3 linked regions of the Callithrix jacchus genome follow. The protein of the gene in region 1 interacts with the protein of each later gene in a pairwise test. Links are inferred from orthologs where the notes say so. Each region holds a gene or a part of one and is shown in the gene's direction. Other genes may lie near its edges.

Region 1 (4,638 bases):
ATTAGCCTCGCTCTTTTGGTGACCTCACTAGCTTAGAGCCCCCAGCGCTTCTATTTCCCCGCCTCCTACCCTGCAGCCTCACCCGCCCCTCTTCGCCTGCTTTTTCCTCCTTCCCTCCCCACCTCTGAGCATGCGCTGAGGCTGTCCTTCCTCCTGCGGCAAGTCCTAGACCGGCCCCCAATCTCCCTAACCAAGACGCCCGATGTGCCCATTGGACCCCCAGAGTTTCACCTTACAGGTTCTCCTAGCTCACTTTCATCCACTTATTCAATAAAAACGTCCTTGCTCACTATGCTGTGCCACTTAGTACTTGGAGAGTGGCCACCTCTAACGCCTGTGTTCAAGCTTCTTTGCTGCCACGCCTCCCTCTGAACCCTGAGTGTGGGTTCCCCAGCACAGGGCCCACATCCTGGTTTTTTTCTTGCTCTACCCCCAGGACCACCCAAGGGCTATGCCATTTAACACTGAGCTCCTGCTCTGTGTGTTTGAGCCTCCTCGTTTTTGACACTGCTCTTTGACACCTGCCCAGTGACAAAGGATCCAACGGAGGAGCAGAATTTAAGAGACCAACATGGTCAATGGGAGGTCCTCTTATTCTCCTGTCTCTAGGATGACAGGCTTGATGGTGGGAGGGGCAGAGAAAAGGGTGGCCATCCTAACTCCCCTGCTCCAGAACCCAGTCCCACTCACAGCTGGGAGAGCTAAGGGTTTGACATCAGGACAGGATCCTGGAGGTCGTCTGGTCCAAGTGTCCTGCTAATGCATGAACTACAGCCCATACCTCCTAGGCAGGCTCACTGCTCTGTCCACCGCTGCTTCCTAAAACCAACAAGTTGATGTGGAATTTGAACCTGGTACTTCTCAAATCCAAGTCCTTCCTGTTGTCTAATCTGAGTTCCTCAGATTACACGTGGTCAATTTCATCTTGTTCTGCCTTCATCAGCACAGAGCATGTAGGGCAGCTCTTCATCACACACAACCGTTCGCAGGCTTGCTAACACCCCTCTGGAACCTCTGGCCGTGTCTTCCCGGTGTCCACCCTGACTCCTCTTGCTGCCGCATTGGCCGTTTTCTATTTTTGTTGTGCTGCCGCCCCACAGTCCTCTCCGGTATGACGGGTCTCCATATCCTATCCACCCTCCACTCCCCTGTCCCTTGGTGACTCATCCCTGAGCTTCCCAAGGAAGCCCCCACCCTCTGCCCTTTCCTCCCGCCTTCCATAAGTGGAAAATCCACCTCCACCCCCTATAGCAGGCCAGCCCCCTTCCTCCCCACTCTCCCACCCCATCCCCCCACCGACCAGTTTCCTCTCCAGGACCAGGGAGCAATCACAGCTGCCCCGACCCTCGCTTCCTCTGCTGGGTGGGACTGGGGGCTGGGCCCCCAAATGGGCCCCTGGCTTCCCCCTTCCTCTGGGCAGGGGACAGAGAGGCGCAGGCTCAGGGAGCAGGACTGACTTCCTCTTGTCCCGGAATGAGCGTGCCTGCCCTTTGCAAGCAGGTTTGGGTCTCACACAGAGGAAACCAAAAGCAGTAAGAGGGAGGGAAGGCAGCGCAACCAATCAAGGGCAGGGTGAGGCTCAAAACGAGCGGGCTCCCTGGGGAGCCAGAGAGAGGTTGAGGGTGATGGCGGAGCTGCAGCAGCTGCAGGAGTTTGAGATCCCCACGGGACGGGAGGCTCTACGGGGCAACCACAGTGCCCTGCTGCGGGTCGCTGACTACTGCGAGGACAACTATGTGCAGGTAGGTAGAGCGGGCACAGGCCTGACACCCCAGCCCTGGAGAAGGGACCCTGAGCCCAGCCCCAGGTTGGGCCTGGGGAGCCATCCTGACAGTGCTTGTCCTGGGCCTTGGCTGAGATATCTTCCCACTCCAGGCTTCAGCTTCATCCCAGACCGAAACACTTAACCCTGACCCCATACTACCCAAGCCCCCACTGTGCCCCTTCTTGCTCTCAGAGCCTCAGAGATGTCTGGGACAGACAGTGAGATTCCATCCTGTTCTCAGGCCTCACCCCAGGTTCATCCTTCTGAGTCCCCCACAGGTTGGTCCAGAGACCCAAAGCCCCTGCCCTCACACAGATGCTGGTGATCATTCTGTTTCCAGGCTGGCTCTGGGAGAGGCTTCGGAAGAACTTCCCAAACAGCACAGTGAAACTGAGATGGACCAGGGAAAGGCTTTCCCTGAGATCTGAGGAAGAGTGAGGATAAGGCAGAGTAGGCTGGGCTAAAGAGAGGGGGTCTCATGCAGAGGCAGGGGGATGGCCCACATGACTGCTGGGAGCAGGCTACCAGCAGAAGATGGGGAGGTGGCATTGTAGAACAGTTTGTAAATAGTGTGGTTGTCCTGGGGCTGAAAACATGGATTCCTGGATTCAAGGAGGAAAAGCAAGGCAACTTAGCCATGATGGAAATAACTTCTGTTATTTCATTAATCTGTACAACTACCTTGTGAGGCATGTAATTCCTATTTTACAGATGTGGAAACAGTAGCTCAGGGAGGTGAAGTGACTTGTCCAAGGCCACACAGCTCCAAACAGCAGAGCCAGGCATTCCTTTGTTTGTTTGTTTTTTGAGCTGGAGTTTTGCTCTTGTTGCCCAGGCTGGAGTGCGATGGCGTGACTTTGGCTCACGGCAACCTCTGCCTTCCATGTTCAAGAGATTCTCCTGCCTCAGCCTCCTGAGTAGCTGAGATTACAGACACGCACCACCACGCCCAACTAATTTTGTATTTTTACTAGAGACAGGGTTTCGCCATGTTGGTCAGGCTCAGGTGATCCACCCATCTCAGCTTCCCAGAGTGGTGCTGGGATTACAGGACTGAGCCACTGCGCCCAGCCAGATTTTTTTTTTTTTGAGACAGGGTCTCCTCTGTCAACCACGCTGGAGTGCTGTGGCATGATCATCGCTCATTGGAGCCTTGAACTTCTGGGCTCAAGCAATCCTCCCACTTCAGCCTGCTGAGTAGCTGGGTGTACAGGCACATGGCACCATGCCTGGCTAATTTTTTTTATTTTTTATTTTTTAGAGACAGGGTCTCCATATGTAGCCCAGGCTGGTCTTGAACTCCTGGCCTCAAGTGATCTGCCCACCTTGGCCTCCCAAAGTGCTAAGATTACTATGTGAGCCACCACACTTGGGCCTCCCTGACTTCTGATGCCAAGCTCTTTCCTCTCCATCTTTCTGCCTCCCGACTTGCTTTATGACTTTAAGACAGTTTATTTGTACTCTCTGGCTTAGATTTCCTCTGCTCCCTGAATTGCTTGCTGCAGGCTAATGTTATTACCCCTTGGGCAAAACTTTATTTTCCTAACATGTACTAACCAAACTATGAGAACAGGCACAGGGATCTCCTAGCATAATAAGAATGTTGAAAAAAAGAAATAAATGAGGAACAAGCACTCATGGGAAATGGCAGATTAAAGAGAGTCAGTGATGACAGCAGTTAAAACACTCTGGACCCTTCCTTTGGGCCAGACATGTTACCAGCTTGGCCTCCCTTCATCCTCATCTCAAGCCTAGTGAAGTCAGTACCATTCCCCTTCACAGTGAGGAAGCTGAAGTTTGCAAAGGTGAAGTCATTTTCCCAGAGGTCTCCAAGCTAGTGGTAGAGCCCATATTCAAACTCAGAAATCTGAATCCAAAGCCCATTCCCTATTCCACTAACTGAAAATGCTACTCTGGGTATCATTTCCATCTGTTTGGATGTTGAATGACCACCCGCAGATGAAGCAGAACAAGGCTTGGAAACCAGCGCATTCTTCTAGCATAGAAAGGCATGTTCCCGCTGGGCTTGGTGGCTCACGCCTGTACTCCCAGCACTTTGGGAGGCCGAGGTGGGTGGATCACTTGAGGCCAGGAGTTCAAGACCAACCTGGCCAACATGGTGAAACCCTGTCTCTACTAAAAAAACAAAACCAAACAAACAAACAAAAAAAACACGAGAAAAAATAACCAGGTGTGGTGGTGCACGCCTGTAATCCCAGCTATGTGGGAGGCTGAGGCATGAGAATTACTCTACCCAGGAGGCAGAGGTTGCAGTGAGCCAAGATCACACCACTGCACTCCAGCCTGGGCAACAGAGTGAGACTCTGTCTCAAAAAAAAAGAAAGAAAGGCATGTTCCCTCTATGGTCAAGGATCCAAGCAGCCCTTTCCATTCTTCCCATAACTTCTGCATGCCTCAAAGAGCTTCCACAGGGCTCTCATTTGCACACACAGTGCAGTCTGGGGTCACAAAGACCAAGGTCCAATTTCCAGCTCTGCCACCTACCAACTACAGGAACTGTGGCAAGTTTCTCCTCTGATTCTCATGCCTGCCTTCAGGGGTGGCTCCATGGGTTTAATGTAAAAATGTATCAAGGCATTTAGCCTAGTGTTTGCCCCTTCAGAAGAGCAAGATAAATGGCAGCTCTTACCATGACTATCGTCATCATTATCATTCATTGGAAGGATGGATAATAAGAATCAGTTCTAGGGAGTAAAAGCTGTCCTTGCAAAAATATGCAGGGCGTCAGAAGCCCTGACCCAGGCTGGGATCCCCAGACTCCTGCTTCCTTCATGCAGAACACTAACTACTAGAACACACAACCTGATACCTTTCCTGGCCTTTCTGAGGCTCTTTGGGCAAATGCCTAGGAA
Region 2 (4,130 bases), on another chromosome or scaffold:
ACTGTGCTAGTCCTCAAGACCCAATGCTCCCAGATGACCTAAAGTTAGACCCATGGCAGGGGCCATGGAGGAGGGGTGTGGAGCATGTCATGGAGGGTCTGGGCCTTGCCTGGGGTCGGCAGGGGGCACCCAGTAGGTCCCAGTAGCAAAACCAGCTCAGATGGCAGAATGGAAGACTAGAAATTGAAATAGCTAAGTGTGGCCAGGCGCAGTGGCTTATGCCTATAATCCCAGCAATTTTGGAGGCCAAGGTGGGAGGATCGCTTGAGTCCAGGAGTTTGAGACCAGCCTGGCCAACATGGTGAAACCCCATCTCTACTAACAAATACAAAAATTAGCCAGGCGTGTCGGCGTGCACCTGTAATCCCAGCTACTTGGGAGGCTGAGGCAGGAGAATTGCTTGAACCCAGGAAGTGGAGGTTGCAGTCAGCCCAGATCATGCCACTGTACTCCAGCCTGGTGACACAGTGTGACAGAAAGAAATGGCTAAGTGTGAGGCACAGCAATGAACTGGCCCTGTGTGTTTTCCCACATTAATTTATTCAGCATCATTTATTGAGCGCCTGCTGTGTACCAGGCCCAGGGCTGTGCACAGGGGTTGCAGAGATTTAGAAAAACAGGCTGAACTCTACCCTCAGAGCCAGCGGTCCAGGCTTTGGGGTGGCTCATGAAACACAAATTCAGCCTGGGCAGGGCTTCCTGCTGAAATCCTAAACGGGCCACAGGGAACAGAACAGGGAAGGGAACAGCATGGAGCTGTCCGATTGTCCCTCTCCCCTACCTTGGAGGTTCTAAGTATCTTGGTTTAGACTAACCTGCATCAGACTTGCTCCTAGGGGTGGTGAAACCCCAGGAAGGCAAGGCTGAGGGCATGGGCCTGGAACTCTCAGCCTAGGGGCCACAGGGAGCCATGGAGGGTGGGTGAGATGGGGAGGGACACATTCGGATCCGGTGCTGTGAAGGACCTGCTTAGGGTGCATAGGTCAGTTGGACCCCCTGATGTGACGACCCCGGTCACATCAGCCTTGATCCCAGCCACTGACAGAAGCTACTACTCATCGTGACCTGCTCTTTTCCCCGTGCACAGGTGCCCCCGAGTCCCCTCGTCAGTGCCAACGGCCCGGGTGAGGAGAAACTGTTCCGCAGTCAGAGCGCTGACGCCCCCGGCCCCACAGAGCGCGAGCGACTCAAGAAGATGCTGTCCGAGGGGTGAGGGGCGGGGCTTGGGGCGCGGCAGGGGACGGGGTGGGGATGCGGGACTTGGAGGCGGTTCTCGAAAGCCAAGGGAGTGCCAGGGACTGCGGGATCTAACTGTGGACCCAAGACCTGGGAAAGGGGAGGAGCTGATCCCGCTGCTGCTCCATCCAGAGCCGACCCCGCCCACGGCTTTGGCAGGCCGGTCTGTATTGAACCGGTCCCTGTCTCCTGGCTGATAACCTCGCCCCATCCATGCCTCTCGGGCTTAGGATAAACCTGGGGCGCCTCCCCACCCCGACCACGCCCCCCTTGGCTGACTCTCCTCAACCTCCCAACCCTCCTCTGCCATCCCGACAGTGTTACTGGGCGGACCCCATGTGCCCACTTCTTTGACCAGGTCCCTGACAAGACCCCGCCTCTTCGGGACTGCCCCATCCCCAAGCTTCGCACTATTTTGGCTGCGCTCCTAGCCCAGCCCAGTGTCGCCACGTCCCCAGCACACCGTGGCCCTGAGTCCATCCCCTGGCCCTACGCCACCCCACCCTTGGCCCTGCCCCCTACCCAGCATTGTCCTTGACACCACCCCCAGCCCAATCTCGCGCCTGGCCACGCACCAGCCCACACCACCCACCTCTGGCCCCGCCCCCTAGTGGAGCATCGCCACTGACTCCACCCCCAGGTCAGTGCCACCCCACCCTGGCCCTGCGCCCTAGTTCAACCTCACACCCTCTCCAAGCTTCGTCCTCACCCAAGCCCAGAGCCATCCCAACCCCTGGCCCCGATCCCAACCCCTGGCCCGATCCCAACCCCAGCATTGCCCTCTGACTGCCCCCGCTCTAGCCCCATGTCACCCCCTGCCGACCCTTGCGTTTCTGCAGCTCCGTGGGCGAGGTACAGTGGGAGGCCGAGTTCTTCGCGCTGCAGGACAGCAACAACAAGCTGGCAGGCGCCCTGCGGGAGGCCAACGCAGCCGCAGCCCAGTGGAGGCAGCAGCTGGAGGCTCAGCGTGCAGAGGCTGAGCGGCTGCGGCAGCGGGTAAGGGCACCCCCTCCCAAAGAGAGCCCCCCACCTGACCCGGGCAACTGTGGAGCCCACGCCTCTGCCAGTCCCATCTGCCCTGGGTGCATGGACTGGCCGGGTGACCTCAGCAGGTCACTGTCCCAGCCCCAGTTCCTTGCTCTGTAAAATGCGTGTGAGACAATGCCAACTTCAGAGGGTGATCAGACCCTAAAGTCCAAGCTACGTGAGTGGGGGAGGTGCCACCAACCAAGGGAGTTGGGTGCTCGGTCCTGGATGTGGCTGGACAGGAGGCAGAGTCCCTAGAGGTTGGGGGAGCAAGGGAGAGTGCAGGCAGGGGTGGTAGGGGCTGCTATTCCTGTCCCACAGGTGGCTGAGCTGGAGGCCCAGGCAGCTTCAGAGGTGACCCCAGCCAGTGAGAAGGAGGGGCCGGGCCAGGGCCAGTCACTGGAGCAGCTGGAAGCTCTGGTGCAAACCAAGGACCAGGTGAGCGCCAAGTATGGTTCCCGGGCCTCGTCCTCCCTCACCTCCAGAGGGAAAGCCAGGACCCCCAGAACAGACCCTGGGAACTCTTTTCCTCTAGGAGATCCAGACCCTGAAGAGTCAGACTGGGGGGCCCCGAGAAGCCCCAGAGGCTGCCGAGCGCGAGGAGACTCAGCAGAAGGTGCAGGTGTGTGTGGGCGCCAGGAGGTGGGGTGAAGGTGGGTGACCATCACCTCAACAGACAATTGGGACGATCTACCTAAGATGATAAAGTAGTATTGGGAGTCCCAGGCCCGCGCCAGGCCTGATGGCCGGCAGGCGCTGTGTGAACAGTGGGTTCAGCAGGCAATCTCGAGTCCCGGCTGCATTCCCACGCCAGACCCTGTCATTTCCTCCTGTTCTCAGCCGGAAATCACAGAGCCTGCACTGGAACCAGGTGTGGCTTGGCTTTTTTTGTTTTTTCTTCGAGATGGAGTCTCACTCTGTCGCCCAGGCTGGAGTGCAGTGGCGCAATCTTGGCTCACTGCAACCTCCACCTCCCAGGTTCAAGCGATTCTCCTAACTCAGCCTCCTCAGTAGCTGGGATTACAGGTGTGTGCTACCATGCCTGGCTAATTTTTTGTATTTTTAGTAGAGATGGGGTTTTACCATATCGGCCAGGCTAGTCTCAAACTCCTGACCTTGAGCAATCCACCCTCAGCCTCCCAAAGTGCTGGGATTACAGGAGTGAGCTGCCACGCCCAGCCTTGGCTTGGCTTTTGCTACAGGCTTTATCTGAGAAATGTTCAGGGGATACCTTTTTTTTTTTTTAATTTTGAGACAGGGCCTCACTGTGTTACTGGGGCCAGAGTACAGTGGCGCAATCTCAGCTCACTGCAACCTCCACTTCCTGGGCTCAAGCGATTCTCCTGCCTCAGCCTCCTGAGTAGCTGGGACTACAGGTGCCTGCCACCACATACAGCTAATATTTGTATTTTTAGTAGTGATGGGGTTTTACCATGTTGTTCAGGCTGGTCTTGAACTCCCGGCCTCAGGGGAGCCACCTGCGTCTGCCTCCCAAAGTGCTGGGATTATAGGCATGAGTCACTGTGCCCAGCCCAGGGGGCACTTCTTGTGAGCCCAACAAGTTGAGATGTTACAGGACCTGCTTCCCTTACACCTGTATTCCTAGCTACTTGGGAGGCTGGGGTGGGAGGACTGCTTGAACCTAGGAGTTGGAGGCTACAGTGAGCTAGGATTGTGCCACTGCACTCCAGCTTGGGCAACAGAACAAAACCCTGTCTCTTAGAAATGAGGGCAGAAGCCAGATCCCTGGGGGGGTTGGATTTTATTCCCAGTGTGATTGGTGCCCTAGGAGGGCTTTGGGTAAAAGAGGGACATGAAGCCGTCAGACTCTGGACACCTCGGACAGGCACGGTGACTTGTTGGGGCCC
Region 3 (4,130 bases), on another chromosome or scaffold:
GATTATTTTAATTATTGATTTAGTTGCTAATATGAGAATCATCTTGTTATTAAAGTATACACACAAGCTTTGGACCTCACCTAGGCTTAAATCTTGGCTCAGCTCTACCACTTCCTAGATGTGTGGCCTTTAGCCATTTACTTACTTTCTTTCTACCTCAGTTTTCTTATCTATAACATGAGTATAACAGTACCTTTTTCCTAAGGTTGTTGTGAGAATTACATGATAGGGTAGCACCTGTGAAATAATTGGATTATTGACTGTCATGTCATGTTCAGTAATGTGTTATTAACTGGTCATTAGTTTCTTTTTTTTCTTTCACAATTGATTTATTGGTTGTGTTGATTTGTACAAAATTCTGAACATAGGTACTGAAAATCTAAAAAGCCATGTGTTGTAATTTTTAAAAAGTTATTCTAGTGACATTCCAGCTTAAAATTGGAAAGCAAATTCTCCTGAAGAGATTATCAAGAACCAGTACTTTCGCATGTTGATAAGCTGTTACATAGATCCCACCAATTCACAATATAATAGCATACAGACTACATACTCAAAATTTCAATCTTCCACAGCACATTAACAAAGTTAATTAGAAAAACAGGACTACCACAACCAAAAATGTTACAGAGTGCACAACCATTATGACGGAGAGAGCCATGATCAAAAACAGTGTTTCTCTTTAGGAAATAATTCTACTAAAAAATAATGTGGGAATAAAAGTAATTTAAAATGTTCAAGACATTAAATGCAGAACTGTAACTCCATATTGCCGATTAGTATGCTTTGTATTGTAGGATATAAAAGCTAACCCCCCAACTATGGAATGTTAAGCTGATACTCAAGACAGTGAAACCCTCCCATAATTCAGTATCTCACACAAACTTGTGTTTACAAAATAGTTGATAACAGTATTCCTCTGGGTTGTACAAGAAGGGAAATAGGGGCCACCGATAAGACATGGTGTATTCTGACATAATCAAACTTGGCTTATTTCTTTCTGGTCTCATCAGAGGCTGGACTCTTCTCAGTTTTAGTTTCTTCATTTTGTGCAGGCAAATTTCTTTAGTTTCCTCGTTAGCCATGTTGGCCTCTTTTCCCTTGCTCCGCTTTTCCCTTTGTTCACGTTTTTTTGTCTGAAGATTTATCCTTTCCTGCTGCCTTTTTTAGCTTCATTTCCACTTTTGTGGGAGCAGGTTTAGCTGACAACCACATTGATTCCCTCCTAGGCTGTTTGTTTGCCACCCCTGTGGCTGAGCTGACCTGTGGGCTCAGTCTGCAGGCAGAAGTAGCTGCCTGCCCTGTGTCTGCCTGGCCCACCCATTAATTAGTTTCTAACAATAATATATTTGTTTTAAATGAAGCACTAATCAATAACGTACAAATAAATTGTCATTTTCTTGTTAAACTTATTTTCCCTCTGTGAACTTCCCATTATAATTTTGACTGTGTTGCCTTTTAGGTCTTCAGGCCTTGGGCTTATATTAAATATTAATGTTACTATTCTTAATAATATGTGCCAGGCACTATGAAAAGCACTTTATATATATTAACCCCATGTTGTAGGAACCACCTAAAAAAACACACAAAATTATTAATGATGATGATTCTTATTATGGACTTTAATTGCTTGTCCACCCATACACTGTGTTACCTCTTTTATCTTTATGAGAATATTCAAGGAGAGAGTTATATAAGACCTGAGTATTCCATTAGAGGTTGTTTAATGAATCTGTAACCGGGTTTTTTTTTGGGTGCTGGCGAGGCACAGCTCCCCCAAGAGAATGCTGTGGGTTCTTGGCCTCCTATCCCTTAAAGAATAAGTGATGGGACCCCTGCAGGTGTGCTGTATGCGCATAAAAGTAAATGTTGGACCCAAGAAGTGTTTCAGAAAGGTGATTTTATTTAGGTAGAGAAAAGAGAAGGAAAGGAGAAGAGAAAGACTTCCATGCAGAATGTGGAAGGGGATTTCAGAGGGGAAATCTGGCCAAGTGTGTGGACACGGACTTTTATCCTGGGAGGAACCACCACCTTCTCTTAAGACCTTGGGCCAATGAAAGGAGTTCGTTAGAACTTCCGCTGGAGTGATTGACTTTTGGTTTCTTCCCACGCCCGTGAAATTCAAACATAAACCGTTAAAACTCCCGGATGGAGAGAGTTGGGAGGGGGGCATGGCGTTGGGAAGTTTTTGCCCTTAAAATTATGCTCTGTCATGGACCCGGAAAGAGAACACATTCCCTCAAATCCTTCCGATTGAGAAAAACTAGATCGTGCTGGAGACTGCTCTGTTTGTGTTCTTTGTTACCAACTAGATTCTTATTGGATATGTGTGGGTACCTATTCCCGTTGTTGCATCCTCTGACTGTGGAGATGGTCTGTTGAGAAAGGCAAAATGAGAATTTGTCAGAAGGCTCTGCTTTCAGGTGTCCAGATAATTGAGACCTTTATCTCTGTATCTTTTAATGGTTTTGTCATTTATGTGTCTTTCTGTTAACAGGATCACTTCTTCAATAATAGCTCTAGGTTGAGGGTGTATTGTTTGATTTGGCTGAAGGAACTCCTAGATGCCAGACTATGGGGGAGCTTTGATTTAAGAGCATAAGTGCTGTACATGGACATTTTTGACATATAGTCAAACTCCTGGAATTTCAGATATATATTAAGATTATGTGAGCTTTATTATTTATGTAAGGGTAAAGGAAATGATTTGTAAGACATTTATTTATTCTTCTTATTTAATTTTGTGGTTTTGCAAACCTGTGAGTACGGTTGATTTATTTATTTTCTTAGAAATAAAGGAAATAATAAAGTAGGATGTTGTTAAGCTCCCTTCTGTGTGTGTGTGTTTTTAGGTGGTATTAAAGATAATCAAACATTATCAAGAAGAAGGACAAGGAACTGAAGTTGTTCAAGGAGTGCTTTTGGGCCTGGTTGTAGAAGATCGGCTTGAAATTACCAACTGCTTTCCCTTCCCTCAGCACACAGAGGATGATGCTGACTTTGATGAAGGTAAGAGTGTTCATCACTAGTGTGTGTCTTTGCAGTGCATACAAATGGATGTTAACACAGTTCTCACTGTAACTTTTGGTAATGTATGAATTGGGAGTATGTCAGGCTAGCCTACTTGACTTGATTTCTAATATTTTGAGAAAATTATAAATTCTGGGAAATGAGGATATGTACTATAGATGTCATTAGTTTGGGTTTTACTTATTTGGAATTTATGATTCTGATTTGTAATAGTTTGGATAGGATCTGTGTTGATGTTGACTTTGTCAGTTTGTCAATCTGAAGTCAGCATGCCAAATAACTAAAGTTTTGAGGGACATAGATGATCCCTGTGTGTCTGGTATTCATTCCCTTCTGTCCTCTTTTGACTAAGTCAGTGTTTACAAAGAGATAGAGTTCAATTTTCTGCTTCAAAAAGAAGATACTCCTCAAGCATTTTAGGAATATTTTATTTTTGTACTACAGGCGTGGTTGCTTTGTTAGCAAAGGCCGACAGCAGTTAAAAGCTCACGTCAAAGGCCAAGGTCGGCATCTTCAAGATTTTTTTAAAATCAGGTTTAAAATAACTTCTCACTTGTTTGAACTCGCAGGTTTCATTTTCTATGTAACCTTTTATTGTGGTAAAAAGCACATAAAAATGTTAAGTATATCTTACAGTAGTGTTAACTATATGCATATTGTGCTGTAGTTTTCTAGAACTGTTTCATCTTACAAAACTCAAAACTCTGTATCCATTGAACAATCCCTTTTTCCACTTCTTTCACCCCTGGCAACCACCATTCTATTTTGTGTTTCCAAGAGTCTGATGACAGGTACCTCGTTAGTGGAATAGTGGCATTTTTTGTTTTGCGAGTGGCTTATTTTATTTAGTTTAATGTCCTAAAAGTTAATCCATGTTGTAGTAATGACAGGATTTCCTTCTTTTTTCTTAAGGCTGAATAATATTTCATTATCTGTATATACCACATTTTCCTTATCCAGCCATCTGTCAATGGACGTTTAGATTGCTCCCACCTATTGGATATTGTGAATAATGCTGCAATAAACATGGGTGTGCAAATATCTCTTCAAGATCCTGTTTCCCTTTTCTTTTGGACATGTACCCAGAAGTGGTATGGCACGGT

What was found. The genes of interacting proteins can lie anywhere in the genome.
Region 2: the proteins of ABI3 (region 1) and HOMER3 interact in binary tests that used the Homo sapiens proteins (3 or more experiments, as listed by UniProt). The two-hybrid records come from large-scale screens. The link is inferred for Callithrix jacchus from reciprocal best matches to the Homo sapiens genes ABI3 and HOMER3.
Region 3: the proteins of ABI3 (region 1) and EIF3H interact in binary tests that used the Homo sapiens proteins (3 or more experiments, as listed by UniProt). The two-hybrid records come from large-scale screens. The link is inferred for Callithrix jacchus from reciprocal best matches to the Homo sapiens genes ABI3 and EIF3H.

What each region holds. Positions count from the first base shown.
Region 1 is NC_133506.1:117,093,893-117,098,530, reverse strand, and holds the start of ABI3 (ABI gene family member 3), read left to right. Parts: upstream 1-1,607; 5' UTR 1,608-1,625; coding exon 1,626-1,742; intron 1,743-4,638. UniProt on the Homo sapiens protein: May inhibit tumor metastasis. In vitro, reduces cell motility.
Region 2 is NC_133523.1:17,623,372-17,627,501, reverse strand, and holds part of HOMER3 (homer protein homolog 3), read left to right. Parts: intron 1-1,087; coding exon 1,088-1,209; intron 1,210-2,075; coding exon 2,076-2,232; intron 2,233-2,583; coding exon 2,584-2,700; intron 2,701-2,797; coding exon 2,798-2,884; intron 2,885-4,130. UniProt on the Homo sapiens protein: Postsynaptic density scaffolding protein. Binds and cross-links cytoplasmic regions of GRM1, GRM5, ITPR1, DNM3, RYR1, RYR2, SHANK1 and SHANK3.
Region 3 is NC_133517.1:80,710,467-80,714,596, forward strand, and holds part of EIF3H (eukaryotic translation initiation factor 3 subunit H), read left to right. Parts: intron 1-2,849; coding exon 2,850-3,006; intron 3,007-4,130.